Linked DNA regions of Oryzias latipes. The main gene of each other region encodes a partner of the protein of the gene in region 4 in a complex. Links are inferred from orthologs where the notes say so. Each region holds a gene or a part of one and is shown on either strand. Other genes may lie near its edges.

Evidence for each region.
Region 1: snrpd2 (region 4) and gpkow share a complex: the UniProt entries of both Homo sapiens proteins name them as parts of the minor spliceosome. The link is inferred for Oryzias latipes from reciprocal best matches to the Homo sapiens genes SNRPD2 and GPKOW.
Region 2: snrpd2 (region 4) and eftud2 share a complex: the UniProt entries of both Homo sapiens proteins name them as parts of the minor spliceosome. The link is inferred for Oryzias latipes from reciprocal best matches to the Homo sapiens genes SNRPD2 and EFTUD2.
Region 3: snrpd2 (region 4) and usp39 share a complex: the UniProt entries of both Homo sapiens proteins name them as parts of the U4/U6-U5 tri-snRNP complex. The link is inferred for Oryzias latipes from reciprocal best matches to the Homo sapiens genes SNRPD2 and USP39.
Region 5: snrpd2 (region 4) and scnm1 share a complex: the UniProt entries of both Homo sapiens proteins name them as parts of the minor spliceosome. The link is inferred for Oryzias latipes from reciprocal best matches to the Homo sapiens genes SNRPD2 and SCNM1.
Region 6: snrpd2 (region 4) and snip1 share a complex: the UniProt entries of both Homo sapiens proteins name them as parts of the minor spliceosome. The link is inferred for Oryzias latipes from reciprocal best matches to the Homo sapiens genes SNRPD2 and SNIP1.
Region 7: snrpd2 (region 4) and prpf4 share a complex: the UniProt entries of both Homo sapiens proteins name them as parts of the U4/U6-U5 tri-snRNP complex. The link is inferred for Oryzias latipes from reciprocal best matches to the Homo sapiens genes SNRPD2 and PRPF4.

The regions. Positions count from the first base shown.
Region 1 is NC_019865.2:21,314,793-21,317,819, reverse strand, and holds the end of gpkow (G-patch domain and KOW motifs-containing protein), read right to left. Parts: coding exon 2,954-3,027; intron 2,790-2,953; coding exon 2,612-2,789; intron 2,529-2,611; coding exon 2,408-2,528; intron 2,125-2,407; coding exon 2,055-2,124; intron 1,198-2,054; coding exon 1,112-1,197; intron 1,024-1,111; coding exon 895-1,023; 3' UTR 801-894; downstream 1-800. Other genes in the region: pqbp1 (polyglutamine-binding protein 1), read left to right, coding at 409-559. UniProt on the Homo sapiens protein: RNA-binding protein involved in pre-mRNA splicing. As a component of the minor spliceosome, involved in the splicing of U12-type introns in pre-mRNAs.
Region 2 is NC_019866.2:5,489,231-5,493,637, forward strand, and holds the start of eftud2 (116 kDa U5 small nuclear ribonucleoprotein component), read right to left. Parts: upstream 2,824-4,407; 5' UTR 2,670-2,823; intron 2,140-2,669; exon of another isoform or gene 2,119-2,139; 5' UTR 2,109-2,118; coding exon 2,004-2,108; intron 1,927-2,003; coding exon 1,764-1,926; intron 595-1,763; coding exon 516-594; intron 369-515; coding exon 293-368; intron 190-292; coding exon 124-189; intron 27-123; coding exon 1-26. UniProt on the Homo sapiens protein: Required for pre-mRNA splicing as component of the spliceosome, including pre-catalytic, catalytic and post-catalytic spliceosomal complexes. Component of the U5 snRNP and the U4/U6-U5 tri-snRNP complex, a building block of the spliceosome.
Region 3 is NC_019867.2:12,332,591-12,337,116, forward strand, and holds the start of usp39 (U4/U6.U5 tri-snRNP-associated protein 2), read left to right. Parts: upstream 1-1,635; 5' UTR 1,636-1,750; coding exon 1,751-1,808; intron 1,809-2,119; coding exon 2,120-2,198; intron 2,199-2,274; coding exon 2,275-2,369; intron 2,370-2,456; coding exon 2,457-2,593; intron 2,594-3,124; coding exon 3,125-3,277; intron 3,278-3,362; coding exon 3,363-3,588; intron 3,589-4,183; coding exon 4,184-4,258; intron 4,259-4,433; coding exon 4,434-4,501; intron 4,502-4,526. Other genes in the region: c9h2orf68 (UPF0561 protein C2orf68 homolog), read right to left, coding at 64-209, 289-404, 1,203-1,312.
Region 4 is NC_019871.2:25,537,509-25,541,844, forward strand, and holds the start of snrpd2 (small nuclear ribonucleoprotein Sm D2), read right to left. Parts: upstream 3,143-4,336; 5' UTR 3,014-3,142; coding exon 3,012-3,013; intron 1,668-3,011; coding exon 1,488-1,667; intron 1-1,487. UniProt on the Homo sapiens protein: Plays a role in pre-mRNA splicing as a core component of the spliceosomal U1, U2, U4 and U5 small nuclear ribonucleoproteins (snRNPs), the building blocks of the spliceosome.
Region 5 is NC_019874.2:27,121,786-27,126,214, forward strand, and holds the start of scnm1 (sodium channel modifier 1), read right to left. Parts: upstream 3,077-4,429; 5' UTR 2,985-3,076; coding exon 2,934-2,984; intron 2,715-2,933; coding exon 2,644-2,714; intron 2,571-2,643; coding exon 2,482-2,570; intron 2,063-2,481; coding exon 1,971-2,062; intron 1,243-1,970; coding exon 1,142-1,242; intron 1,051-1,141; coding exon 923-1,050; intron 830-922; coding exon 718-829; intron 136-717; coding exon 27-135; 3' UTR 1-26. Other genes in the region: lysmd1 (lysM and putative peptidoglycan-binding domain-containing protein 1), read left to right, coding at 3,798-3,980, 4,174-4,429. UniProt on the Homo sapiens protein: As a component of the minor spliceosome, involved in the splicing of U12-type introns in pre-mRNAs. Plays a role in the regulation of primary cilia length and Hedgehog signaling.
Region 6 is NC_019874.2:23,603,581-23,607,991, forward strand, and holds the start of snip1 (smad nuclear-interacting protein 1), read right to left. Parts: upstream 3,134-4,411; 5' UTR 3,006-3,133; coding exon of another isoform or gene 2,935-3,005; 5' UTR 2,830-2,934; coding exon 2,690-2,829; intron 1-2,689. Other genes in the region: dnali1 (axonemal dynein light intermediate polypeptide 1), read left to right, coding at 3,257-3,337, 3,544-3,656, 4,208-4,377. UniProt on the Homo sapiens protein: Required for pre-mRNA splicing as component of the spliceosome. As a component of the minor spliceosome, involved in the splicing of U12-type introns in pre-mRNAs. Down-regulates NF-kappa-B signaling by competing with RELA for CREBBP/EP300 binding.
Region 7 is NC_019870.2:3,965-8,380, forward strand, and holds the start of prpf4 (U4/U6 small nuclear ribonucleoprotein Prp4), read left to right. Parts: upstream 1-1,430; 5' UTR 1,431-1,523; intron 1,524-4,416. UniProt on the Homo sapiens protein: Plays a role in pre-mRNA splicing as component of the U4/U6-U5 tri-snRNP complex that is involved in spliceosome assembly, and as component of the precatalytic spliceosome (spliceosome B complex).

The DNA.
Region 1 (3,027 bases), on a different chromosome or scaffold from region 4:
GGACTGTTAGTGCGATCCAAAAATAGAAATCCCACACCTCAAGGCTGTTCCTCCATCAGAACTTTGTTTAGCTCTGATTTAATGAGATGCAGGTTAGAAACTTGCTGACAGTGCAGATATGTCAGTCGATATCGTGAAGCTAATTGCAGCAGAGGGATCACTACCGCTTTGAGGCAACATTTTTATTCCAACTTCACACACTTCTTTTTTAAAAAAGATTTATTTTGAAAAGCCAATTATTGTAGGATAATGCTTTTATATTTTCCCTGATGGCAAAATATATTTTTTGGAGAGGTTTAAAGTGTTTAGATTTTTCCTTAAAGGTACAATAGTTTATGGAGAAAGTAGAATCCATTTCTGTCATTTTGATGATTTTTTTAAAAAACTGAATTCATTCATTGTCCTTAGGGGGTCGTGGTCCAGTGGTCTCCCCAAGCGAAATGAAGCAAAGACGGGTGCCGACACCACCGCAGCCGGACCCTTGTTCCAGCAGCGGCCGTATCCTAGCCCTGGAGCCGTGCTCCGGGCCAACGCGGCCAACCAGCAACCCAAGGAGTGAGCAGGATCCCCGTCAGGACAGCAGCTCGTGCAGACGTGCTTTGGTTTCCGTTTTTGTGGTGACGGGTCTCGCTTTAGACGTGTTCTGAGTGTCCCAAGCATCCTCACGTCAAAACTTGTAAATATGTTTTTACACCTGCAGATGAGTTTGTTTCCTCTAGAATTAATGAACATAATAAATTTGACAAAAGAATCTGGGTTTTTCTCTGTTTATTGATTTTTATTGCACCTGTACAAATACACATCTGAGGTTTTTTTTATTTAAAAAAGCTTTAAATGCATGTCAGAACACAAGTTTCACAATGATACAGGATGAAACGAGGAGAGAAGAAACTCTTACTGGTCTTCTGCTCCCACATAGTGACAAATGAAGTCATAATCCAGCGTGAACAGCTTTTCCTCGTATCGGTTGAGCTGCACTGTGGCCTTGCACTTGTTTTTGTCTCTCTGAAGAATCCGGCCGACCTGAATGAAGGCGTACAGCGATTAGTGACAGTCCATCGCAGGCAAGCGGGACTGTGTGCTGCAGGGAAAACCCAAAACCTGTGCTCACCTGCCCCCTGTGCTCACCCAGGACAACCATCACAGAGTCGCCATCGCTTTTGGGGATGATGGTTTCCAGCATGTCCTGCTTCACATCTGCCACATGGAGGACAAACGCGTTCATGACCAGAGAGATTTGCAGCCATGGTTGCCATGGCAGCAACCAAGACAAAAATGATCACCTAGTCACCAAGCATCATCAGACCCTTTGTATTTCTTGATTCAAATTGTGAATCAGGAAAAAGATCAAATTTAATCCGTAGAAAAAACACTGTAAACAAAGAGCTCTCAGCAGCAGGAGGGGGGTGGGGTAGCTCCATCCCAATGGTCCCGTCCACAACTCGGGTGAATATCTAATGGACTACTGTCGCTCTACACAAACTATGTCCAAGAAAACGACACTGATTTTTACGTTTGGGCTAACAACGACATAATCCTAATTATAAAACCACTGGGAACGCTTTGAAAATAGATCAAAAGATGATCGGAGTGGGATTTTAAACCTGTTGCAAGTTGGAACCACATAATCTACATTTTCATCACCTAAACATTTAGAAGTACTGTAACATTTAAAAGTGTAAAAGAAAAGTAAAAGAATTTCTAAACAAAATCAACTTAAATCCGTGTTTTGACGCTAAAGAGGTCCATAAAGTTTGTCAGCTCAGCATTTATCCTTGATCATCTAGGAGAGCGCAGGTCAGAGGTCAAACAGTAAATACATTTTCACTGAAGAGAAAGCTTCTTTTCATAAAACTTACACCTACAATGTGAGCATGTTTGGAGAATATTCCAGGGAAAACCTGAAACTCCTCCTATCTTCTCCTGAATCTGACCTTTTTTCTCAGAAAAGCTTTTCAGGAAAGTGAGTTCATGTGTTATCGGAGCTTCTTCTGCGAGCAAACCTGTTCAGTAAAAAGATGTAGGCCGACATGGACAGAGCCTAGAAGACTCACCATCTAACAGTCTGCCCTCCTCCGTTCGACACACGCAGGTGAATGGCGTCAGGACATCCTCTACTTGCATCTACAGGAAAGTGAGATTGACAGGAGTCAGACTTTTTTTTCTTTGTTTACAGACAAATGTGCAAAAGTTGAGATGACAACACAAACAGCCATCACTGGCTCTGATCTTTAAAGGGAGGATTTTTGAAAGTAAAACAGATTTATCTAGCAGGTTTTCGGAAACTTTTTTCCTATTCTGAAGGTACAACAGTAACAGATGATTTTCTGCTAACATTGATACACATAGAGGCTTTTAATTTGATAGTACCAGCTGACTTGACAGACAGACACTGTGATTTTAGTACCTTGGAGTTGTAAAACCTTCCCCCTTTAAAAGCTTTGTCTATAAAGCGAACTTTGAGGTCCCTCTGGAGCCAGGAGGGGGGCGCCGCTGCTTGTCTGGCTTCTTTCACAGGAGGCTTATCTCTACATTGGAAACAGGGAGACTCATCCTCTGGTTTATGTCCTAAAGCAGTAGAACTTTGTGGTTCTAGTTCATGGACCTGTACCTGTCCTGGTTGGACTCCTTGTGTTTCCTCTTCCTTTCTTCCTTTGGTTCGTCTTTTTCTGAAGCTCTGCTTTTCTCCTTGTTGCTCCTCCTCTCCTTCTCTTCCTGCCTCTGCCGTTCCTTCTCCTTTTCTCTTTCTTTCTCCTTTTCCTTCTCCTTGTGTGCTTTACTGAGGCGACCTGTTGCAAGGAAGCAAATAAAAGAAAGAACACATTGTCTGATCCTTTTGTGCTTTATTCTGCCCACATGAATAAAGGAAAAGTCTTGGAACAATAGTTCTGCGTTTGACCATTTATTTAGGCGATTAGGAGAAAAATCCATGCAGCTGAGAAAGGACACTCACTGATGTCTTTGCTGTATTTGTCGTATTCTTTTCGTCCGACCAGTCTCACGCCGTGTTGGCTGAGTGTCACAGTC
Region 2 (4,407 bases), on a different chromosome or scaffold from region 4:
GTAAAGAGGATGTCTGTGTACCGGAGCTTAAAACATAGAAAATCACGTTAACCTCAAACCATTCAAGTCGCAATTCAGTAGAATCATTTTCACATTTTTTTGTAAAATAAAGGAAAAACGTACATCTACATCATCCCTCTTCCGGATTTCTGGGTGTGTCTGCTCAATCAGACAATCTACAAAACAAGTCTAAAAGGAAGAAATGGGTTTGTTAGATTTCTCTGAGGCAAACACAAAATGTAAACTCACAGAGTTTAAAGTCAGAAGCCTCTGTGAGGCAGCGCGGTCTAACCTTGCCATGATGAAGGTGACCACAGAGTGTGACATTTCGGATCAGCTCGGGACCATCCATTAGATCTGCAAGAAATCTGCAAAAATGGGGAGGAAAGAGAAAATATCTTTAAGTACAACAAATATAAACTATCATGAAGACAAAAAAGAGAGAAAAAATATGCAACGTCTTTAACTTAGCAGGAACATTAGGAATCCATTGAGATTCTTCAGAAGAAACTCACTCCATGTCGTAAACTGTTGCAGGCAGCTCCTGTTCCATCAGAGCAAAACGCCTGTGCTTCACCGGCTTGATGATGGGCTCTAGAAAGAACAAAAAGACAAAAATGTTCTTGTGTTAAAGAGTTGCAATAAAATGCAGAGCTCCTGTTTTCCAGCTATGAAGAAGTAGTTTCAGACTTGATCAGAATCAGATGTTGCATACCAATCAGGGATCGGATATTTAACCATTATTTTGATTAGCACTATATATTTTAAGCTTATTATTTCAACTAAATGCTCTTCTAGAAGTCTGCATATCACGAAAGGATCACAACGTTTTGTTGCCGTGAAACACAGCAAAATACAACAAAGGTTTGAGTAGGAGGTGCACAAAGACAGTTCGTTAAGTTAGCAAAATATTCACAGATTTGGAGTTTGAGCTCAATGACTTTTAATAAACGTTTAAAACTGAGAGCTAATGTCTCTATTGGTTCACAGAACCATGACAAACAACTACCTGCAAGGGCGTTTAAAAATATTGGGGATTTTTTAAATGTGCCCTTTAATGAGAATTCAACGGAGAGACGACTGCTAAGGGAGCGTCTCCAAAGTGCAAGCTGCAGGAGAAGGTGATCAACAAAACAACAAAAACTCCATAATCTGTCAAAAACAACCAAAACGAAATGACTGTTACGTGGGTATGGATCATGAATACACATCATTATTTTAATGCTGAAATAATGATTTTGGAAGAAAGCCGTTCCTCATTTTTAGGATATTTTAATGGATATGAATCGCATCAGATCAAAAATGTTCATCTGCTCGGAAGCAGATGCTGAATCTACGGTCCCCAAACTTAATCATTTAACCAATTATTACCTATTTTTAATAATAAACAGTTAACTATTTTTTAACTTATTATTTAGTTATTTTTTTCTAGTTGATATTTGCATTTTTTTGCTTGATTGTTCAAGCTACTTCACAAAACTGCTCTATTCAAGTGTTACTACAAAAAAATTGGGGGCAACCGGGATTTGTTTATTATTATTATTTTATTTTTTATGTTATACAAAACTATTTGATCAGCAGATTCTCAAAATAAAAAGACTCAGAATCAGAACAGGGTCAAACAAATAACCTTATCTGAACATCCCTAGGAAAAATGTCAGCTATAAAGAAATATTAGGAGTTGATGATTTGACACAATTTGTGAATAGAGCCCAAAGTTTTTTATTACTATCCCTGAGCTGAAAGTCAAAGGTTCACTTTACCTGTTAAGGGTTGTGTGTCTTCCTCTTGGACAATAGTTTCCACCTCTGGCCCATAAACCTCTTCTGCAGTCGGATAATACTTCTTATCCTCATGGAGGACCACCTCCATGCCTGGGGTATCATCCTCAGCATCTGCAGGCTCATCTTCATCATCATCATCACGCTGTAGAAGCAGATGCACAAATGAATGCTCAGGAAACCTATACATTTCACAAAACTAAGAGGGAAAGCCAAAGAAACCTCATCTAGATCTCTGTCCTCTGCCTCCACGTCATCTTCATCATCATCAGAATCCAGCTCTGGACCGATGTAGTTCCCAAACTCGTCATACAGATCAGCCTCCATCTTCAAATATCTAAACAATTACAAAGAAACACTAAAACATGTATGTAACAACAACAAAATGGGTTAAAAGTTTTGAAAGCAATAGGAAACCCTAATTTGTCAGACTAGTTAGTACGTAGCAGTGATCGTAGCGTTTTAAAGCTTGAAAACTCTCAATGGGTAATTAAAAAAATAGAACGTATCTTTTTAAAGGTTTAACATCTCCAACTGTATTTCAAATATTTGCAAAATACGTTTATTTTTTATTTTCACTTAAAAATAAAAAAATAAAAACATTATGAACCGGTTGTGGCCACAACAGCTAATGCTAATAAGACCGCAATTTGAACATTTAAGCGACTCCTGCATTTAGATTATGAAAAAAGTCAATCAATTGATGAAAAGTTTCGGATTTTATCGTCTTTGCGAAAGTTTATTGAGCTTTCTCGATCCACGCAACAAAAAACAAGTAACCAAACTAGCTAGCTAGCGTACAAATGAATGGATCAACGTCTGAGATACGTCACACCGTAGACAAAGACATAATTTGCTGAGACCACACATAAAGCTGACTGCACTTACCTTTATTTAAGGATAAAACTACTGCAAAATATTTATACAGCACAAAATAAAACCCTGTTCTGAAATTAGGATAAATTATTGTTCGGTTAGCGCCATGCGCATGACAAACTACTGCCGCTTTTCTTCTTCTACTAACACGTCACAACACTTGAGGATCGCGTACGCCCCCTAGCGTATGGATGTTTTCAAGCGCCAAACCAACAGATCCAATCAATCAAACCTACTCCTTTTGTAACTTTACTAGTGTTATAATATGCCGCTGATAATGCAGAAATCTGAGAATGTAAAACGCAAACATGCTTTGAAAATGTAGATGTTGCACTTGCAGCCACTGTGTGCAACAAGGAACTTGTGTTTGGTTGAATATTTTTTAACACTCCTTGGTAATGAATTCTTGAGTGCTGAGCCTTTTATTAGCCCTTTAATCTTTGCCAGATTTGAAATAATTTAAAATATAAATTCCTTGGAGTTATTATTGATGGCAAACTAAGCTGGAAAGCACGTGTTAGATATGTAACTCATGTGACATATTTGTAACTTATTTTAGCATATTTTTATTACTGGATTGAAGTATGAAAAACAGGAATTCAAATTATTTACAAAGCTAGCTTGATCACAAATACAATGTATTAGGCCTTTAGGCTATAGTCAAAAGAACTCAAACTTTGTGATTTGGCAGAATACACTGCAGCTCAAATATGTCCAATGTTCAAAGCAGAAAAAGAATTAATAACAAAAATGATACAAAATATTGCAAACAGGTCAAAAATTACACATTATTCATATACCATTGGCTGCATGTGTGACGGGTAAATCACCCCTCCAGCAGTCTACTGAGTCTAGGTCTCATGCTCAGGTCTCGCGGAAGGCAGATCGTGTGAGGGGGCCGGATGCGTCTCTGGAGAAGCGATTGTCCCTTCTTGCAGATCTCCCTATGCGGGGAGATTCAATGAACTGCGGATTTGCATGTTCTTTGCGTGGTTTATTCATACTTCTTCCATGGTTTTAACGTGGTTCCTTCGTGATACATCTGTGAAAGTCTTCTGCAGAGACTACAACTTTTAGTGGCAAAGACCACAACTTGTCTTACTTTTTCCACGTATATTCACACATGACATATAAAAACTGGTCTTATGTGAATAAACATGGAAAAAGTAAGAGAAGATGTGATTCTTTGTGAGAAAATTTCACAGCTCTATCATGATTTTCACCTTTGGACAATGTGCAAATTGTACTTAGCGGCAGTGGGACACAACCTTAAGCCAAACAACATTCAATTGCTACTACGATTGTCTCTTATCTGACACTTTGGTCACTTCCAGAAAATATTTCGCAAAGTCCTTCTTTATAATCATTCTTCCTCCATTCCTCTTTCCATCCACGAAGGAAGAAAAAAAGCTCAAACCTGCTTCCAGTCTTTAAGCTGTGGTCTCTTTCTATCTTTGTCTTCAACATACAGGATGTCCACCTTGCTTCTTTCATGTCAATCAACTCCCTACTTTTCCATATAAAATTCCCAATGTTCAACTTCCCTACTAAGTCCTTGATCCTTCACTCCTGCCTGTCATTTTCTATCAACCACCCCTTTCGTCTCTTCTTTAACTAACAGTCATCCAGTTTCCATTGCTCTGCTGCTTTGTTGCACCGGTGGCAGTTTTTTTTTTTTTTTTGTTAACCTGGGTCATGACCAATCTGGTTTGAACGTTTGTATTGGTTTTTTTGCACAGATTATTTACAT
Region 3 (4,526 bases), on a different chromosome or scaffold from region 4:
GATAATTGTTTAATAAAATAGTGTCAAACAAGACAGTTATCAGGTGAAAAAATGAGCTCTAACCTTGTGCACAAGGAAAGATGTAATGACACCGGAGTCCGCCTGATAATCAAGCCAGAAGAGTTCGGTTCCATGAGTTTCAGTGTCTGTGCCCGACCCACTCTCATTCCACTCGTCAGCATCAGCGGCGGTTCCTGGCTCTGAACTATCTGGAAAGAACCAAAACAGAAACGCAAAAGTGTTACATTTCCTCTAAAAGCAGCAAAGTAAGAAATATGTCAGTCTTACGTCTCCGTCGAGGATGGTACACCTGGATGTCAGGTCGCCGAGGCTTTTTGGGGGTTGTGGTGCGCCTGTGCCGCTGAAGCTCTTTGGCTTGCTTCACTTCTTTATCATAGTCATCTCTTATAAAGAAATTGAAATATTTTCTGATTATTTCTTAAAAACATAGCAAGTTGCACAGTTGAATAAAACACAGAGCATCTTGGTCATGGCCATGAACTTAAAAATGTTCCTAGGTCTGTTTACACATTGGAGGATAATACTTTTTTTAAAATTTTATTATTTTAAGGCAAAACAGCTTTGTTTTTCATACATCAAAGCAATTTAAAGAGCCGCACAACAAAGCAACATTATTATTGCTGTTCTTTTAGCTTTATAGTTCATCTTTCAAAGTTGCCTAAATAAAATCAACATGTTAAAAATCCGTTTTAAATGATTAAATAAAGAGTGAGAGTGTGGGAATTAAAACAAACTTTTTTGTTTGGACGTAAATCAAAATACTTATCATACATTATTGTAGCAGCTTTTTTTAAGACCAGACAGAGAGCAGATGCTGTAAAACAGCCCAACTCAGCGTATGTAATTTATCAAGGAGGAACTTTAAAAGTTTTACACACCAAACCTAAGTTTATATAATAATCCACTTTTAAATAATAAATTACACTAATAAAACATAAACCGAATAACTTAATGCTCCTTTTAAAATTTCAGTCAGTCCAATAGGGTTTTGCTTCTACTGCTTTAAAGTAAAAATAAACTTGACTTTAAGCCTTTTAGGTACTTTAAAAAAATGTTATTTCACTGTCTGCCATTTTTAAAAAAATCATTTCACATCAATCATGAAATGACAGCAGCTACAGATTGACATTTGACATCCCAAGTAAGTATGCTAACTCGGCTAACAGCAAAAAGGAAATCACCTGGCAATCTGGTTCCTCCGAATATGATGAAGGAAACCGTGGCTCATGTCCAGACGGCCCCCCGGTTTGTACTTCAGCTCATGCACTCCTTCATCTCTTATAAGATCCATTTCAGCAAACACTCTAGAAAGAAAACACAGCTAAAGAAGAACAAGCAAAATACTAACAAAAAGCTAGACAGCTAACGATGTATAAATGGATGTCCAACCGTAGCGTTCCCGGAGTTTCTACAAATTAATTTATTGCGTGTAAGTCCTACAATGCACATTGAACTAAAATATAAACTATTTTGGTTATATTTCTGTGACAAAAAAAGAAACTGAAGTATACAAATAAATAAAATATATTACTTAGAGTTTACATGGGGGTAAACATTTATTTTTTAAACTCCGGGTTACGTTTTGGTTTCCCACGCCATTACCACCGACGTACAACCACCGCGAGTTTCGAGGAGCTGAATAATATCCATTCATTTCCTCTCGTAAACCTTCAAGTTTTGTTAATTTTTGTTTCGTTAGCAAACCGTTTGCTAACTTATAGTTACAAGAATGTCTTTAAAGCGTGAAAGGGAGGAAATAGAAGACGACGAGGATAACGAAGACGAAGGTATGCTGATTTGTCTCTTACGTCCGTTTTTCGTTTTGTTAGCCAGCCAGAAGAGCATTTTCTAGCATAAAAAGTTTATATTGTGTCAGTTCCATTCTACACCAATAAACTGATGGTTTCACATGTAAGACAAAGACAATCAGCATATAAAAATATATGTAAAACCTGTTTATTTTAAAACAGAGATCGATTAATAGAAAAATCTTAGCTTGCTAGCAAGCATGTTTTGATTGCTAGTAGTTAGTTGTTCTCGTAAAAATGAATTCCGTTTACGTCTACTGAGCTTTATCGTGATTTGCTCTCTTTTGCAGTGACAGTCAAATTTAGGCGAGGACGTGTGGTTGAAGACCGAAGAAGCCGCCATTGTCCTTACCTGGACACCATAAACAGGCAAGGAAATGTTTGAAAATGTATGCTAAAGCTAGTTAGCATTCTTCTTGTAATTCAGTTTCTTCTCGTCTTGCAGGAGTGTTCTGGATTTTGACTTTGAGAAGCTCTGCTCCATTTCTCTGTCTCACATTAATGTTTATGCCTGTCTTATTTGTGGGAAATACTTTCAAGGTAGACATATTAGCACATCAAACGCACATTGTTATTTTCCTTTTTAGATGACACTAAACATCTTTACGTTTGCATTCCTTGTTGCAGGCAGAGGTCAGAAGTCTCATGCCTACACTCACAGTGTCCAGTTTTCTCACCATGTGTTCCTCAACTTGCACACACTCAAGTTTTACTGTCTGCCAGACAACTATGAGATCATTGACTCATCGCTAGAAGACATCACAGTAAGTAATGCAGTAAATCTGCTGTTTTTCAATGTATAAATGAAAAGGTAATTGCTCTGGGGGGAAAAGTAAACAGTTACATGTTAAAATTAAACAAAGTTTTTTGTTTTTCTTCTAGATATGATTGATAGATTCTTTTGCTCACATTCCTTGTTTGTCAGTGTAACACTTCAATAGTTTTCATTAACATATTCTGTGTTTAAAAATAGTTTTAACTTGTGAACCCAGAGTACATAAAAATGTGTTCGATATTTATATATTTTATACAAGGCCAATGTATTTGATTGCATAGTATATTTTATTTACTATATTTTGCACATAAGTATCAGTACTAGTATCTAAAAATAAGTTATTTAGCAATGTCTTAAAGTATACTTTTTAGAGTTTTGGCTGTAATTTTAATACGTCTTTTTTTTTTACATTTCTTTTTTAAATTTTTAATGTTTTATGTTAAGTAATTTTTACCCCTCCTTTTTTTATTTTTTGTAAGCTCTTGCTTTGTGTTGGTAATCTTGCTCTTTTTTTCTTTAGTATGTGCTGAAGCCGACTTTCACCAAGCAGCACATTGAGGGTCTGGACAAACATGGTAAACTGTACAGAGCCTACGATGGTACAACCTACCTGCCAGGGATTGTAGGGCTTAATAACATTAAAGCCAACGACTATGCCAATGCTGTACTACAGGTATGAAACCCCGCTGATGTTGATTTTTGAGGCTGTGGCATCAACTTAAATAACAGGGGGTTTCATATTGTACTTTTGTTTTTAGGCTTTTTCCAACGTCCCACCTTTGCGAAACTACTTCCTTGAGGAGGAGAACTACAGAGACATCCGGAGGCCACCAGGGGACATCATGTTTCTGCTGGTGCAGCGGTTTGGGGAGCTGATGCGCAAACTTTGGAATCCGAGAAACTTCAAGGCCCACGTGTCGCCCCACGAGATGCTGCAGGCTGTAGTCCTGTGCAGCAAGAAAAACTTCCAAATCACCAAACAAGGTAACTATTTTGTGGCCTGTGGAGTGCTGACATAAATAGGGCCATGTAGGCTGAGATTTTGGGCAAAAACCTCATTCCATCAATGAGAGCACTAAAGATGAAACATGGCTGGATCTTCCAACATGACTGATCCCAAAAACATAACTCTGGCATCAAAGAGAATCTGTGGAGGGAGTTTAAAGTATGTTTCTCAGCAAAAGCCTCAAAACATTACAGCTCTGCATGGAAGAATGGTCCAGAATAATAGCTATAGTGTTTGTAAACCTGCTTAAGACCTATGTTTGACCTTTGTCATAGATAATCATGGTTACATTACAAACTATTGAGGTGAACTTTTGTTGTTGACCAAATTCTTATTTTCTGCACTATTATACAAATACATTCTCTAAAAATCTGACAATGTGATTTCCTGGATAATTTATTGGACATTTTATCTCTCAGTTGAAGTATATCTATGGTAAACATTACAGACCAAACTCAGCTTTTTGAGCGGGACAACTTGCAGAGTCAGTGGCTGCCAAATACTTTTTTGCCCCACAATCTTTAACTCACTGGATAAGTTTGTAGAGTTTGCTCAATGTTTTCTGGTTTGCAGGTGATGCTGTGGACTTCATGACATGGTTCCTAAACGCCATGCATGGCGCTCTTGGAGGCACAAAGAAGAAGCCATGTGAGTCAGAAATTCACTCCTAGTTTATAGTAAATCTGTTGAATTTCTGAATTCATTTATTTGATGTGTAATTTTCTCTTTTATTCCAATGTAAGGAGTCTATTTTAGAGCCAGTGCTGGTTGTCTGCATGCAATGTCCTTCAATTTAACTGGTCTGCTCTTTGTTTTCACACAGCAATTCTTACAAAAGTCTTTCAAGGCTCCATGAGGATTTTCTCCAAGAAACTACCACATCCAGATTTAGTAAGTCTCTGTTTAGCTTTTATTT
Region 4 (4,336 bases):
ATTCGACTTATTTAATTGTCTTTCCTTTCATCCAGACAAATCCAAAGTGTACCAACAAATGACAACGCAAGAGGGGGAGAGAGAGGATAAACAGACAAAAAAAAGGAGAAACCGAAACAGTACAAAAGTGATCCGAACCGAAATTGCCGTACCGAAACGGTTCGGTCCAACTACAAGGAAAAAACTGATCTGTGTCCGAAAACTGGAACTCTGTGTGTGTGTGTGTGTGTGTGTGTGTGTGTAGAGGATGGGGGAGTCAACCAATCAGAGTGCAGGACTCAGAGGACTTGGTAAAGTTAGAAAGATCTTCACAGATTCGGACTTCCTGCTGAGAAATTCCATGTTTAATATATTTTATATAGTTTTTCACATTTTAAGAGACATGATTCATAATAAAGGTGCTCAATAGTTCTAAAGATACTAAAGCTAATGTCAGCAAACTTTCTGTACTGACTAATCATGACCCTATTGTCCCCCCCGTTCCGTTTTCGTACACAGATCAATTTTGACACAAGTTTCTCACAAGGAATGTGTCAGAAGTCAGAGCGCAGTTGTTGTGCACTTGTGATGTGCGCCAGCAGATTCACATTTGAGCAGTTGTAATCCCAGATTGGAGGTTGTAACTCTAAATGGGAATTTGTCAGTTCTGATTTAGTTTGTCAGACTTTACAGCAGAAGATTTTTACACACAGATGCAGATTTTTGGTGTGCAAGTTCTCACATTGTAAATTACAAGTTCTCACACCAAATCTACAAGCTCGTCTATTTAGACACATTTTTACCTTCATACTAATAACTCACTGGCATTTGAAATCTTGGGGTGCTCAGGTGGATTTGCTCACATACGTAATCTATTCTTTTAAAAACCAAAAAGATCAGAAAATTACAATGCAAGAACTATTGAAATAAAACATCTTGCAATCTCCCTTCTTCATTGCTTAAGCTTTGTAAGAAAATTTGATTTTATTACACAAGTGACTACATATAGAAATCTTGCTGTTGACATCTAACCCTTAAAACAGGTTTAGTATTTAAGAAGTGGCTTTTTATTCAACTCATACTTGATAAAAAAACAAAACAATGCTTCAGAGAATGAAATCATTCAAACCCCACACCCACATCAGGCACAGTACCCAATGTGGAGGAGATGCTATGGACGCCTTTTTAATCTCTTACATTTGTGAGCTTATATTTAGTGTTTTACTTGTATTTGAATTCTTCTGAATGTATTTTATTCTTGATTCTATTAAAGGAATATGTCAAAGAGAGGAGGGAATAATTGAAACATTTTAGAATAAAACCACTGTAAGGCGCCATGTTATTTCAAATCCTGGAAAGAAGAAGAAAAAAAGACTGCAAAAATATGCTTTAGTGAAGCAACACTTTCTAAATCAAGATGCAAGCTCTTCGTGTTTGTTTCCTCTTCATATAAAAGTCCTAAATACACACTTAAACCTCTCTCCGCTACACCAGCAGCCCCCCAATACCTGTCGAATGCTTTGACTCTTCCAAGCAGCTTCTTGTTGTTGCGACAGTTAATGAGGACTTGGGTGTTGTTCTTGACTGACTGGGTGAGCACCGACAGAGGGCCAGTGTTGAACTCCTCCTCTTCTCTTTTCTGGAGCTCTTCAGGCGTCATCTCTGACTTAGGTTTCGTTAGAAGACTCCTGTGGATTAAACAAGTTCTGAATTAGTGATAACAGCAAACAAAATAAGCAACGATGTACTGTTTAAGCATCGACTGCTTGGGCGGCCTATTATTTGGATTTGGGCCTTTTTATTATTATTCTTTTAAATTAAAAAATAAATATAAAGACACAAACGCAACACTTTCGTATTTAATGCACACACAAGCATTAGTTACTGTTAATGCGAATCCAAGAGTTGGCTTCATCTGTGTGCCTCAACAAAATGATCATTTTCTTATAAAGTCAAGTTAGCACAAAAATGTACAATATAGGCAAGACATCTGAAAAGTGGAACCAGCTAAAAAAAGTCTCAGTTCCTGCAAAAGAGCATTTATGAGAGCTGAAGCTGTTGACTGAAAGTGCTCAGTTAATAGAGACATTTGAGAGGCAGAAGGTGCTTAAGCAGGAAAATGGACCACAACCAAATATCTAAATAAAACTAAACATGCAAAACTAGTATTAACCAGAAAACCATTGTACAGGAGACATTACATCAGACGGAATCAAAACTATTGAGGAATTATCTCACACACACAATAAATGCTTTGGTCATTGATAAATTGAATCAGTACATTTTAGTCTCGATATTTCTTTATATTTGTACAATGATCACTACAAATAGGCAGAAGTAAAACCTACTTTAAAAAAAATGGCTGCTCTGGATGATAGAGAAACAATTTACCTAAATAAAGGTCAACAAATACTAGACTTTATAAAAGGATCAAGTTTTAAAACATTAAAGCCTCCCGCCACCCTTAAATGAGCACAGAACATTTATTGTTTCCAGATACATTTGAAGTTTTCAACAATCTCTGAACAGTGTGTGCTTTGAGATCAGCAAAGAGTTTAGGCTCTTTACGCACAAAATATTTAGAACAAAACTTTGGCTTTCACACAAAATGAGTCTATAACCGACGACTTTGATCATATCATCTTGCAGAAGCTTAAACATTTCTACTTTCTAAAGAATGAATGCTGCAATCGCACAACGAGGACATTTACTCATGATGGATAGAGCAAGCTAACAGTCTCATTAGCAATTAGCTAATGAGGCTTAGTACGTCCATCAAGCTTTCGCGCGATGTACAATCACAGAATTTAGCTTTGGACGTAACTTTTTAAACAATTTAATTTGAGAATGCAGTAATTGCAATGTAATCCAATTTAACACATTTCTAAAAACCACCCACTAGGCCACACAAAGCGATCTAGCACCAACTCGAAGGAAAATGCTGCTAGCTTAATAGTGCGATCTCCATATTAGCAGCTAAACGTAAAAAGTAACATTGCCCTCAACATCGAGACACAATAGAAGATACTAACATGATTCCTGGTTTATAAAAACCGTTTAGTAAAGTTCCAAAGCCTCTTTCGTGCGTCGGTCGTGTCTACAACGTTTTAGCCGACAGTCGCGTGCACAGAATCACTTCCGGTGATATTAACGCGCTTAAATAGAATAACTTCCGGGTTACGACGCAAACCAAAAATTCGAAAAATATTCTATTCTTTTTGGCAACAATAGAAAAAAAATCAAACAACGGTCATCAGCTAAAATATTCTATTCTAATCTTGCATCCATCTCTAGTAATTTCGTTACTGAAGCCGAAGTTAAAACTGTTATGAATGCCCCAGCATTCATGCAGCAATTTAACAAACGACATTATAGAACATGTTTAAATAAATACACGAAAAAGATTAATTAAATACAATTTGATACATTTAAATTCAGCATTGCTTTTATCCAGTTATTTTGCATTTGCAGGATATCAAAGTCCAGGTTGACAGTATCAAGAAATAATATAAAATAAAAGAGACGTTGCTTAGTCTGTGACCTTTGCCTGGTAAACAACAACAACATTATTAACAACAACAACAATTAAAATATTGGAAATAACAACAACAACAATAATAGTAATAATATTAATAACAACAAAAACAATAATAATAATAATAACCTTTCCTTTTTTTCATATGTGCCACGTTCCAAATCACAGATTGCCTTATCTATTATTGTAGGTGCTAAACAAATGATGCAGCATTGTTCATTTGTATTTTTAGCAGTATTTTTAAACTCATTTATTTGAAAAATATAATTCAATATCAAGAAACTATAAACATGGCCTTTTGTAACTGCATTTTGCAAATCAAACAATACAAAAAAACTTTAATAGTAAAAGTTTTAGGCTCCAGGTTTATTGCTGTCATGTCTTGCATACATGGGCAGCCGTGGTAGGGTGGTCACCCTCTGATCGTTAGATTGCAGGTTCGATACCCGCCCTACCGTTGAAGTGTCCTTGGGAAAGACGCTGAACTGAACACCACCTTGCTTCTGGTGGAAGGTTGGTGCCAGTGTTCAGCAACCAGGAAACCAGTATGTGAATCTGTGTATGAATAGGTGACTGATTTTGGCCTTCAAGGAAGGTAGAAAGCGCAGTACAATTATACGCCATTTACCATTTATAATACAATTATAAAAAGTTATAAGATGCATTATAGTGTCATTTAGAAACTCTCACAACTGAGTTCTATGAGATCTACAGCAGGTGTATTTATCTAATGTTAGTCTAATATAAGTTTTGTTTTGAAGAGATGTCTTAAAGAGTCTGAGCCGTTGACAAAAATGTTGTAGCACTTCTTTCAGATGGTAA
Region 5 (4,429 bases), on a different chromosome or scaffold from region 4:
TTCTCCGTCTCCTCATAGAATGTGTTTTAGCAATCATCTGAAGGGGCAAATGAAGGCGGCGTCTCCTCATCCGAATCAAACTCCACGTTGTTGTCTTTGACCCACTGTCCATTTCCGTCCTGTAACCAGCCATTGCTGTAAAAGAAAAAAAAGAAAAATCATAAAGAATGTAGAATGAGGCCATAATGTTTGAGCCTCAGCATCAGTATTTAAACCAAAGCAGATAAAAACTGAGAAAACCAAAATCAACTCTGTAGGAGCCAGTTTGACATATTTTGATAAACTTTCACAATTATGAATTTATTATCTCAACCTTCCATACGTTTATTGAAGAACTTTGTTAAGATTTGGTGGATTTATTACTTTATTTGTTGATAGGCGTGCCATTTGTTTATGTCAGGATTGGACGCAGATGTTTTAAAATGTCAAGTCTTGTGTACATCCCATATATTTGTTACCCTATAAATCACAATGTACAGAAATGGTGCAAACACAAATAAATGAGTGAGAGAACAAATCAAGGAAGCAGAATAATTTCAACGGGCCGCATGTGAAGATGCTGGAGAGGAGCTGGGTGTGGAGCCTGAGGCAGAGGACTTCACTCATTTTATCAGTTTACTGCTTGGACTGTTAAGCTAAGAGTTTCTAAAACATAGTTTCTGTGGCCTGCAGATTCAATCTAGCACTGGTGACAAAAAGGAAAAGAGAGTTTTGCACCTTTTCAGTTTGAGGTAGTGCTCCATCTCTCTTCGCCTCTGCGGCGTTATGAGTTCTGCCGTTTGTCTCGACTCAGACTGACACTGAATTCTGTCTTTGGATGAACAAGACTCTACAAAAATAAAAATAAAAGCATCAGTTGAAACAGAACCATCAGTTATTTTAAATAAAATATCAAAATATGATTTCTAGGAGCAGATTTTACCTGTGAAACAATCACTAGAATCACTTGTGGATGCATTGTCAGAAACTTCTGGTTTCCAACATGCAGATGGGAAATTGTGTTGAAATGTGTTTCCAGCAGTGCTCGACTGTCCTTTATTCAACTTTGTACTGAAAATAAATAAATAAACAGATATATGTTCACATCTTTACTTCCATTTTAAACTACAGATGAGTATTTTAACCTTAAATGATGACCAACCTGGTTTTTCTGTGGCAGCTGTTGTATGGAACAGTCTTCAGAAGAGCATGATGGGTAAGTTTCCGGGTCTGTGCCAGTAAAGGTGCCGAACTGGAGGGCTCCTGCAATCACAACAAAAGAGACTTGTCTCTCAGACTGAGCTCTGACAGACTCCAACTCAGCTAAATGCTCCATGTGTCCTCTGGCCGGCTCTGCTCATGTTTTCCACCAGCAGACACCCGCTTCAACTCACGCTGCAGAGTCTACAGGTTGTCTGAGTCACGTGGCAGCCACAAGCACGTACTGGATGTCACACAAGAATACGACTTATTCTTATATCCATATTTAACATGTTACAAGCAGCGACATAATATCTTTACAGGAGTACAGGAGGTGCATCCTTTCTACAACTGTCATTCCAAAACAAGTCAATAAAGTACTATAATTCAGCAACAATAAAAATTTAACCACAATAACACTAAGTATTTAGTCGTCTCTGTAAAAACGGTCGGTCGGTCGGTCGGTCGGTCGGTCATCACACGGTCATCATGTCATTGTTTCGTGTGATGGTCGGTCGGTCGGTCATCATGTCATTGTTTCGTGTGATGGTCGGTCGGTCGGTCATCATGTCATTGTTTCGTGTGATGGTCGGTCGGTCGGTCATCATGTCATTGTTTCGTGTGATGGTCGGTCGGTCGGTCGGTCGGTCGGTCGGTCGGTCGGTACGTCGGTCGGTCGGTACGTCGGTCGGTCGGTCGGTCGGTACGTCGGTCGGTCGGTCGGTCGGTCGGTCGGTCGGTCAAAATACAAAATTACCCGCAGGTAAAATGATCAAGTTGAAGCTCCAAACCTCTTTGTCTTCTGCTCTGACATAATCTTCATGTTTTCTTTTTGCAATTTCATTCTTGAACTTTGACTTTTTCCCATAAAAGGATTTTAAACCTAAAACACAAAACAAAAAAACACAACGGATATAAAAGCATGCACCAAAAGCACATGCATAATAAAACTTTATTTAAAAAATAAGAAAACATATATGACATATTTACATGTCACACCCATTCTGGAGTGACATTTACATCCATTTTCTACCAATACTCTGTTATGTAGCATTAATGTCGGAAAACAACGAACGTCAGGCGAATGATGCTCACACCTCCTGTCATTAGTGCCTTAATATGACACACCTGTTACATCAACAACACAGAAGATCTGTTTGGGGCCAAATGTGCAAACACTATCTGAGAGAAATGAGCCTACAGTGTTTTGTCTACATCTAAATATGACCACCAAGACACTTTTATACTGGGGAATTTAAAAATTTTCCACACTAAGAGTCACTTTTTAAGGAGGATATTTACCTTCTAAATGCTTCTTCCCTTGCCTGTGGACTGTCAACATGTCAACTGTGTCAAACACTGGGCGATACGAACACACAAGGCACGTGTACCTGTGTGGAGCGAACGCAGAAAGGTGAGTTACTTTCACAACAAAACTGACACTTAGGGTTTAGTTATATTCACCTGCCATTACTCAGAAGAGCAGCTTCATCTTCCGGAATAAAATTGGACAAAAGGTCAGATACACGCCGTTTCTGTAAACCAACAGCCCAAATCATCAGTAAGTATTTCATAGCAGATGAAAAATTTACATTAAATACTTTACCAAACAGTTTTCATTTACTCTGTGTACATTATATCCATATGAAACTTGCTACTAGCTAAGCTAGCAAAACAAATAAAAAACGACAGCGTATGAACTTTAAGAAAGCCTATTCTTTTATGAATACAATGTATTATATCATTTTAAATACCTTTAAAATATTAAGTTGGCTCCCATCATTTCCTTCCCTTTTGAATGACATAATTATATCGAAGTAAATCAATGGTATAAACACCAGATTAACGGCTAGCTCAATGAGTTAACTCATTGGGCTAGCTTCTCTATACGTCACACTATCCCGGAAGTGTTGGTAGTGCTGCATTCAGGGACAAACATGTACACTTTTTTTGTCCACGATTTCCAGCTAACCACGTTGCAGTTTCCCATCGTACCATTTCATTTATTTATGGTCAAGTTAACTAGTCTAACAAACCATTGTTAAAATATTATTTTACATTTAAATTGATTTGTTTGCATGTACTCTTAAGAAAGCATCGATGTGAAATGTTTATAACATCACATATTTTTTGTAAATAAATCGCGAAGGGGAAAAAAACTGCCTATTTTAATCAATGAAATTTTAATTCATACTAAACAAACTCTGATTAAAATAAAAAAAATAAAAATGTTATGTTTTCATTTAAATTTCAGTATTCAAATTACTTTGAACACAACCCACCCAATGAGAGCCGTCATTCACAGCGGCAGCCATGGCAACAGACTGCAGCTGACTGAAAAAAACAACATATTTAAAGTTTTTAGATATGTTTTTAGATTGTTTACTGACAGTTAAGCTATGTTTAAGGTGTTTTAAGTAGTTTTTCTTCAATTCCCGACTGTTGATAAGGTTCAGGCAGTGCCATTTCGGCACTTTGGCAAGAAGAAGATGAATTAGTCGATACTTTAGCAGCTAGCAGGTGAACTGGGCTTGCTAGTTTAGGACGACGTCAAACCAGTTCCAACATTAAAATTGCGTACGTGTTACTGATGATTTTCACATAAATAATTATCGGATATGTCCGGACAACGAGCGGCTTTGCCATCCGGGAGAGGCGGTCTTCTTCGCGGAAGCCGAGCTATGTCGTACGGCAGCTTGATGCGATCGTCGCCGGCGTCTCCGGTCCGCCAGAGACACGTTGAACACACGGTTCAGTCCGGAGACACGCTCCAAGGTCTGGCCCTGAAGTATGGAGTCTCTGTAAGTATAATAAACCAGATTTGTACTCCCTACTTTAGACAATTAAAACAATTTGAAATATTAACAAGGAACATCTTTTGTTTCCACACTAAAAGTAAAATCTATTCATTGGTTTTATGTTATGACATAATTTTTTTTGATTCTGACATTTGTTAGTTTAAAAAAAAAACAACAACATTCTTCTGTCTTCCAGATGGAACAAATCAAGAGAGCAAATAGGCTTTACACCAACGACTCTATTTTCCTGAAGAAGTCTCTGTCGATCCCTGTTCTGTCAGACCTGAAAGGGATTCATTTGTCTGAGGACTGTGAAGAACAAAGTTCTCACGATGTCGTGGTTCAGAACGGGACAAACTTCTCTGAGAGGACAGACGATGATGGGAAAAGACCTTCAGACCTGAAACCTCTGGATTTTCTGAGAAGACTGGATGAAGGAATCAACCAGACCA
Region 6 (4,411 bases), on a different chromosome or scaffold from region 4:
CTCACTCCATTGGACTCTATAACTTGTCATCCATGTGCAATAGATAAACTCATTTAAGGTCTGTCTGTTTTTCTCTCCTGATGGGTCACACAATACAACTGTTCTTTTTCACTGATGTTTCTTTCTGATTAAAGGCTGCAGGATTTACGTCAAACCGCTCGGTCCAGAGGACCGATCCAAGGTTCTGGTTGTGAACACCATGAAGGACTTTGAGAAGTGTTTGATCACGGTCGTCTGAAACAACATGGAGTAATAAACCAAAGAGCCAAATAATTTCAAGAAATATGACACGTGGATTCCCCACTTTCTCTGTATGTCTGACGTCACCTGAATAACAGCAGAGAGTTCTGACCTGCAGACAACTTGACCTCAACTTTCACCGTCGCTGATATCAGCTGAAGAAGGATATGGACCTGAATCTAATGTCTGCAGTCATAACATCGAAGAGAACTATAAACTCTGTTTTGAACCCAGAAGTACGGCTGTTATCAGTTAAAGAAGAAAGACCAACCTTGGACAATCGACAGTTATGGACCCTTTTTACTTTCCCCCTACAGCATTACTTTATTATAAAAAAAATAATAATAAAAATACAAAAAAAATATTTAAAAAAGTAAAACAAATGATTAATGACTTATTGAAAATTGTTAAATTGATTGCCTTTTAATGATTTTATTTCACTTTCTCCAAAAATTGATAAATTGATTCAAAAATCTTTCCTAATGTAGCATAATTTTGCACATGTTTTTAACTTTTGATACTTGATGAAATTTTGCTATGAAAATTCCTGAAACAGTGTTGTGTCTACTTTACTGATATAGTATTATGTTTTATTCATATGAATGGCTTTTATAAGTAACATAATCTGCATATATTTCAGATGACTGATCTGCATTTGCCATGTTGATTTCTAAAATAGTTATTTTTGACGTAATACTTAAGTAATTCATCTTTGTCATGTGCTTTATCGATATCTTATGATTTTTAATTCTGTATGATATAAACTGGGAACCGGATATTGATAAATCATGTAATAAAATGGTTACAGTATAACGGGGTGGGATTATATAAATTCGCTTCCTTCCACTCCCTTTCAAGCAATATTTATTAATATGTATAATTATCCTAAGTTTGATTAGTTACTGTATGAATGTATAACTGATGATTATATTGCTGTTGTGTATTATTTCTACTTAATTGCTTGAAATAAACCATTTCAAATAAAAAAATAAATAAAATTGTTCTGGTTCTCTGTTGTCATCTATTGTTTGTATGTTTGTACCTTGAGCCTAACGCCGACGCTGCATCAACCCAATTTCCCAAGCTGGGATCAATAAAGTATATTTATCTTAAGATCATTTTGTAAGTGATATTCTTGATTCAAATGGAGAAATTCTTCAGTTAAGAGACTTCAAAGGTAAATATGATATTGAATGCTCAACCGAGGAATTTCAGAAAACCTGCTGAGCAATTCCAATTGCTTCAATACATTTAATAAAAAATACAATATTGTCTTCCTATGTTCAAATTAAACTACCAAATTTAGTAATAGGAGAAATAAAATTTAGTGAAAAAAAACGTGATAATAAATTGCTAAACAAATCCTTTAGAGGTAAATTATACCATGACTTTAACAGAAAAGTGAAATATAAAATAACTGAGACACCTGTCACATCAGATGCTCAACTATGGAAATTCATAAAATGGCCAGTGGTTCCCAAAATTAAAGAAATGCAGTTCAAAATTATAAACAATTATTACCCATCGGCAGAGACATTGAGAAGTAGATTTGGCTTTGAGGTTGATCCGTGTGATTTCTGTCAGGTAACCCCAGAAACAACCCAACACCTGTTTTTTTCATGTCCAGACCAGTGAAAGATTCTGGCAAGATTTTCATAATTGGCTTAGTCAAAAAATTAACAACATACAATTCACAGAAAAACATATTTTGTTTTAAAACAGTAAGTTGCCAAAAGAGCCAACAAATAGTGAACATCCTCCTGATTTTGGGAAAATATATTCATAAGCAAAAGTGGAAAAAAGATCGGCCGAATTTCCTGTGTTTTAAAAATGAAGTCAGATTGTATTTATCCTCATTGAAATGTATTCACAACTCAAATTCTTTCATTGATGACATTTGTAAATCTGCTACAGAATGGTTACAAATCTAGGGTCCAGATTGTTGATTGCCTTGTATTTTAATTTATGCTGATAGTTTTTTTTATATATGTATACATTCTTGTTTTTTTTTTATCTTTGTTTTTCGTGAAGAGCTGTGCCTTGCATCATTGTGTTGTTGTGTCTGCCAGAGTTTTGTAATGAGTATATTTCAATAAAAAAAAAAATTAAAGCAAATTTTATGTCTCTAGTCTAACCTTGATTTATCAGCAAGACGGTAATAAAATATCTTAGAACAATAAACAAGATTTACTTGATACGAGTCAGATACTTATACTACTTTTGACACAAACGTGTTAAGGATTATTTGATTTACAGAAACCTCAGATCAAAACTCTTTTGGAGCAACCGGGTATCCCTTACGTTAAGTGTTTATTCCGTAACCGTCAAAAATGAAAACCGGAAGCTAGATTTTCATCAGCGAAAGTACAACAAAAAAATAATGTTGTGAATTGTTTTATATTTAGACAGTTTTACGTCATGAATCGTAGTAAAACCTTCAGACATTTACCTGCTAGCTCGTCTCCCCTGTGGACTGCGTGATCTGTGTGGCCTGCTAGTGCTACTCGGGCTCAGTTTCTCCTGCTTTATCTTCACTTCGGGCTGCCGTTCTGGAGACTCCCTTCTTCTGTCTCGCTTTTCTTTAGTCATTTTAGTTTATTTTTCCAATAAATTTGAGCTCAATTCAACCAAAACACGACACAGTAGCTAGACAAAGACAAGCCAAGATAAAAAATAAAACCTTTGATGCGTTACCAAACTTCTGGCGTTGTGAAAACAAACTTCCGTTTCCGGTGACTCAAATTAATCCCCTCGACGTGCTCCATGTGCTCCCTATTGTTGGTTCCGCCATGGCCTAATTCGTTTTAAATGGGGAAAACGTGATGTTCAAGTTTTTTTTGTCATAGACTGAAGCATTGATGACACATATACGTGTCGTATTACATAAAAAGTATTCTTAAATGAAACTTTGTTCAAATCAATATTATTTTATTTTGAAAAAGTGTCGCCATGACAACACAAACAGTGAAACGGTATTTCTAACAAAACGTGTAACTTGCTCTCTCACCTCAAAACGATGACTTCTTTTGGCGAGTCCCTCTTGAAATACGATAATCCGATATTGGTAAAAACAAAAGGAGATAAAAAATCTCAAAAGGTAAGTCTTGATGGTTAATGATCTATTTAACTGGCGCCCAGAAACTATATCAATTAAGGCTAGAAATCTCATTGTACTTCCATAATTTCTTTATTGTGGACAATGAAAGGCTACCAAATAAAATCTTCAAAAATAATAAAAGAAATTACAAAAAAATAATAATACAAATAAATGTACAATTTTCCCCCCTTTTTTTTCGTTAATAGGGACGTACTCTAACGTTGAGCAACCTTCCAGCTCCCAGCTTTGCAGCAGGTGTTCCATCTCCCCCTACACAGAATTTGGATGAAAACATTTTGCATGCCATCTTACCACCTAGGTAAAAGAAAACCTCAAAAGCTCACCTAAGCACAACGATTCAGATTTATTTATTCTAGATTCATTATTATTTATTCTTCTTCCTAAGTTATGCAGACAAACATAGACTGTGGCATGCACCAGAGCACAATGACCATCCTCAACTTTTATTTCTCAAAAGTCAAATCTGGGAAATCAAATAAAATCAGGCTTTTTTTTTGTAAAACAGATGCTTTTCATGCCATGTAACTCAAAAAACTTTAAACAACACAGTGGAACAGCTACAGTTGGAACAAATGTAGTTTTTATGTGATCCAAAGATCACCAACAAATCCTAATGTCTAACAAGGAAAAGAGGAAAGGTCCTGTAGCTCAGTGAATGTCCAACTTTCATCAACTTAAAAAGATCAAGTCTTGACAGCAAATATTGCCCACAGGTGCATTATCACACATACGTCTGCTTTTTACTTAATTCAAAAATAAAAAGCTGACACACAATCTAAGATCCCGAAAGCATCCAAAAGTTACTGTCAAATGATTTTCCAAGTAAATTCTGATTTCTTACCATTACAGAGAATGGACAGAGGGGGACCAACAGTGGGTGCAGAAAGTATCTACAGCCATTACCACGAGGAAAGATGTCATTCATCTGCAGGAGCAGCTGAACATAAAGCTAAAGCAGAAAAAGGCCAAACCAACTGGCATCTGCCCCATCCGCTGGGTTCTGTTTTCCCAGTGTTTCGGTAAGACAGCGGAGGGTCGGGACAAAGCTCATCT
Region 7 (4,416 bases), on a different chromosome or scaffold from region 4:
CAAAAGTGCAGAATAAAATGTGACACTGAATTTGAAACAGCACATTGTAATTTCTGCATCTATTATTAAAGTATTTATTAGTAATACAGTGGAAATTAGTAGATTGGGTTAGAATGTTGATTTACGGTATGCGCCCCTAAATTTTCTGGTTGTGCCCCTAAAATTTTCAGTTGGGGGCCACAGTGCTCCCAGTGAAAAAAGTTAGTCTGGAGCCCTGTATATATATGCGTCACAAGGAAAATAGAAATAAGATCAGAAACTCGTGCGTTTACTTTGTCTGTTCTTTTCTCCAAGCAGAAACTCTCTTTTGCTGATGATGCAGCCGTGTTACTTTATTGATGGACGTATAATCTTCATACGCCGTCATTTAAATGTCCGAATCCGTCTTACTGAAGTACAGCTCTCTCTCTTTTTTTCTCCACACGTTTCCATGGTGACTCCAGAAATCGGCGATCCATTGAGAATGTTTTTATGTACCTGCTGTGCACGTGCATTAACCCAGGGTTACCAAGTGGAGCGTAATTATGCTAACTCATATCCGGTCTGTTGGAACCGACATACCCAGAGTAAGCAAGTTCAGGTGGATTTCAGCCAGAGTTCAGGGTTAAAGTCAGGGGAGTTTAAACATGACTTCTGGAATACCCCCCTGGTCTCTGTGGGGGTTTACTCAGGAACCTCTGGTTGGATCAGATCTTCAGACTCCCACAAAGAGGGGGTCAGAAGTCTACAGTGTTTGACCTCAAAGTCACAAGCTACTCCAAAATATCATTTTAAAGAACAAGCTCTGTTTCTTTTACATAAATTATGGGACACTAGAACTTAAGCTCATCTCTGGTTCTGTGGGTTTGGGCTATTCTGGAATTGAAGACGCCCTGTGACTACACCCAGCAATAAGAACCATACCATTTCTCCACTGAACCTCAGGTCTGAATCCAGCAGCCAAAACAGCGCCCCCTAGGGAGCAAAGTGGACGTACTTTGCTGATTATCTGACACACCTAACCACGAAACGTGAAAGGTTCTAGTTTGATGCTCCACTGGTTCCAGTTCAGTCAAAGGGTCTTAAAAGAATGAGGATGCTCTGGGTCACACGGATCAGTTTGTGTAAGGTTTTGGTTGACAACCACCTGTTTCTGTCATGACAGCCAGCTGTACAGAATCTCTGATTCGGAGGAAAGCCACGAGCTCTGCTCCGTCTGCAAGGAACCCAAGACCTGGAGATGAGCTCCGGACGTTTGACCTCCTTTCTGGACATCCATTCAGCAAATAAACAAACACCACGTGATCTGCAGTTTTACTTCTGGTTAGCAACAAATTAGGTTCGTCACGCGCTTTTACCAGTGAGCTTACCTTGAACGAGTGGGTAAAACGCGCGCTCGCGGAGCTCCACGACCTGTTGTTGAGACACAAGACGCGCGTATCCAGGTTTTTCCGGTGAACCGGAAGTAGTAGGTTGACCCGGAAGCGGTTACAGCACATATATCCGGATCATTTAGCGCGTGGAGGCAGCTTTGTCGGATTAAGGTGAGTTTACGAAAAAAGTAACGAAGCTGTAGCAGCAAAAACAGTTAAGGACTAGCACGCGCTCACAGCATCTAATTTATTCCTCCGCCGCACGCGCTTTCAATCAGCCACAGATTCCCCCGCGTGGATCGGAACCGGTTCCACTGCAGAAATTGGTTGGAGGTTCTAACTGTTGTGCAGCTTCGCCTGCAAAAAGGGTGATGGAGGGAAGAAATGTTCAGTGTTTAGTAGATGACGTCATTAGTACAGACTGAATGTCCGTTTGCCTCAAGAAACGCAAAACAAAGAAAAGACGTAAGAATAGGCTGGCATTTACGATAGGACAGGTATAAAACATCAAATTACCAAGGATAGAAGATTAAAACTACTGTCGACTAAAATGCTTCATCGTTTAAAAAGGCGACCGTACCAAAATCTCCAAATAGGGGAGGAGCATCTGAAAGAAACAGAGAAGTTCAGCCGGCTAACAAGGAATATTGTGTTTTTGTTTTTCATTTAACTTTATTTGTTTTTAATTAACTTTATTCATTTCGTAGACAAATGCAAACAAAGGGAGTCAAACGTACACATGTTAACATAAAATGATGGATTCCTAGAGAAGAAAATAATAGAATAACTGAATATGATAGAGCTTATTGATGCTAACAGATGTGAAGAATTTATGTCATGTTTACATTTTATTTCTAAGTATCACTTCGGGTTTGCTGTTGGGGACTTAGCTGAATATAGAATTTAGCAAAAAATTAATATTTTTATTAAAATATGAATCCTTTTTGTCCTGATTAAAATGATAGAAATCGAAAATAACATTCTCATAAGGGTGAAAATCAGTGCAGATCAAGTCAGTGATCGTCTTTTAGAGAAGGAGGCCAGGCGTCAATCGAGAGGGTCGGAGGGTCCTGTCCCGGGTAATTATGAAAAGCAGACCCGTTATGTACATTTTCAAGGCATCGTTTCAGATGATTTGAAACCACCAGGGGGGTATTCCAGAAAGCAGGTTATGCTAGCTCCCACGGTAAGTTTGAGGCTAAGGAAGTGGATAACCTCAGCTTTCTGTTCCAGAAATGGAGGTATGTTTCAGGGTAGGTCAAGTTGCCATAGCAACTCATGCTCTGAACATAACCTGGTCAGGAGCAGGTTTAGTTGAAGGTTAGTTTGTTTTTCAGAGATGTGAAGCAGCATGGCGTGTCCATTTGAAGATGATTTAGTGGATGAAGAAGCTCAGATAATACTTTTTCCACCATGAGAGGATGATAAGACCACATATGGATGTTGGAAAGAGAAACTTTATACTTTCATCTAACTTAATTATTTGCTTAAGTTAAGATGAATCTTTTTTGGAGTTCAGTCAGCTTAAAAATAACACGTAGTTATCAGACATTTATTTTACTTTCATTCAAATTGATTCAATGAAGTAGGTGTAACTTTGGTGCTGCTGTTAGATCTGCACCGCAAGGAATTGTGGGATACCATTCCCTTTGCCTGTCTGGACGGATTTGGGTTTAAGTGTGGGTTTTTGACCAAATGTGTTTAGTTTAGCTGTTTTACTGTGTTTTGTCTAGTTATTTTGTCCTGTTATGTTTAATTCTTTCTGCACCATGAGTGAGAGGGAGGAAGAGGCGGATGAGTTTATTTAGCACCACTAGTGCGCGTTTCCATGGTGACTCCAGAAATCGGCGGTCCATTGAGAATGTCTTTATGTACATGCCGTGCACGTGCATTTACCCAGGGTTACCAAGTGGAACGTAATTACGCTAACTCGTATCCGGACTTTTGGAACCGACATACCCAGAGTAAGCAAGTTCAGGTGGATTTCAGCCAGAGTTCAGGGTTAAAGTCAGGGGAGTTTAAACATGACTTCTGGAATACCCCCCAGGTGCAGAGATTGGGTTCACTTCTACTCTGTTGACGGCTACATTTTCTTCTGACCTGCGGGTTTACGACACAATTTCCAAACTCATCTCCAGAGTAAATATAAACATGTGAGCGGTGGAGGCGATGCGGCTCAATGGCTGCGGGCCGTTATCGTGTTGTGGGGATGGCTTTATAATAATAATTGTTATGAACATTCATCGTCTCCGCCTTGTTCTCACTGTCCACTTCTGTCTTGATTCACACTTGAGTTGCTCCTTTTTGGTCTCCTGAACAAAATCCGTAATAAACTGCATCTGGTCCAGAATTCCACTGCCCATATTGTCTCCAGAACTCCAACCTTTGATCACCCCCCCCCCCCCCCCTTCCTCCAGCAATTGCACTGGCGTCCAATTCAATTCAGACTCCTCCTCTTCCTCACCTTCAAATCCCTCCATAACCTGGCCCCTGTTTACCTCTGAGCTCCTCCAAGTTGACGCCTCCTCTCGTTTTCTCCGGTCCTCTTTTTTTCTCCAGCTTTCTCACATTGTTTTTTTATCCTATTTTTCTAAATGTATTTTTATTCTTGTTTTTACTGCTATGTACAGTGACCTTGTGTGTCAAGAAAGGCGTGTGTCATCAAATTATTATATGCAATTCTTAAGATGGAAAAATTGATATTAAAATATAAAAGGAAAAATTCTACTAAATTTGGTCAAAATTCATCAAATCCATTCAGAGCAGGCTTCTAATGAATTCCACTGTCTATTTGATGTCTGCATTTAATGTCTCCACCTTATACTTAAATTTAAGTGAAATGAAATTAAACCATTGGGTGTTTTTGCTGATATTTGTTCTCAGTCTGTTATGATATTTCAACTTATGGACAACAGAAGAAAACGTGTCAAGGATCCTCTGAAGTAGGCCTGCACAATATACCGCAAATTTATCGTTATCGCAACATTAAGCTGTGCAATATGCATACCGCAAAAGACGGCGAAAATCGCAATAAATGGTTACCTCAAATGTACAAAAACAAACT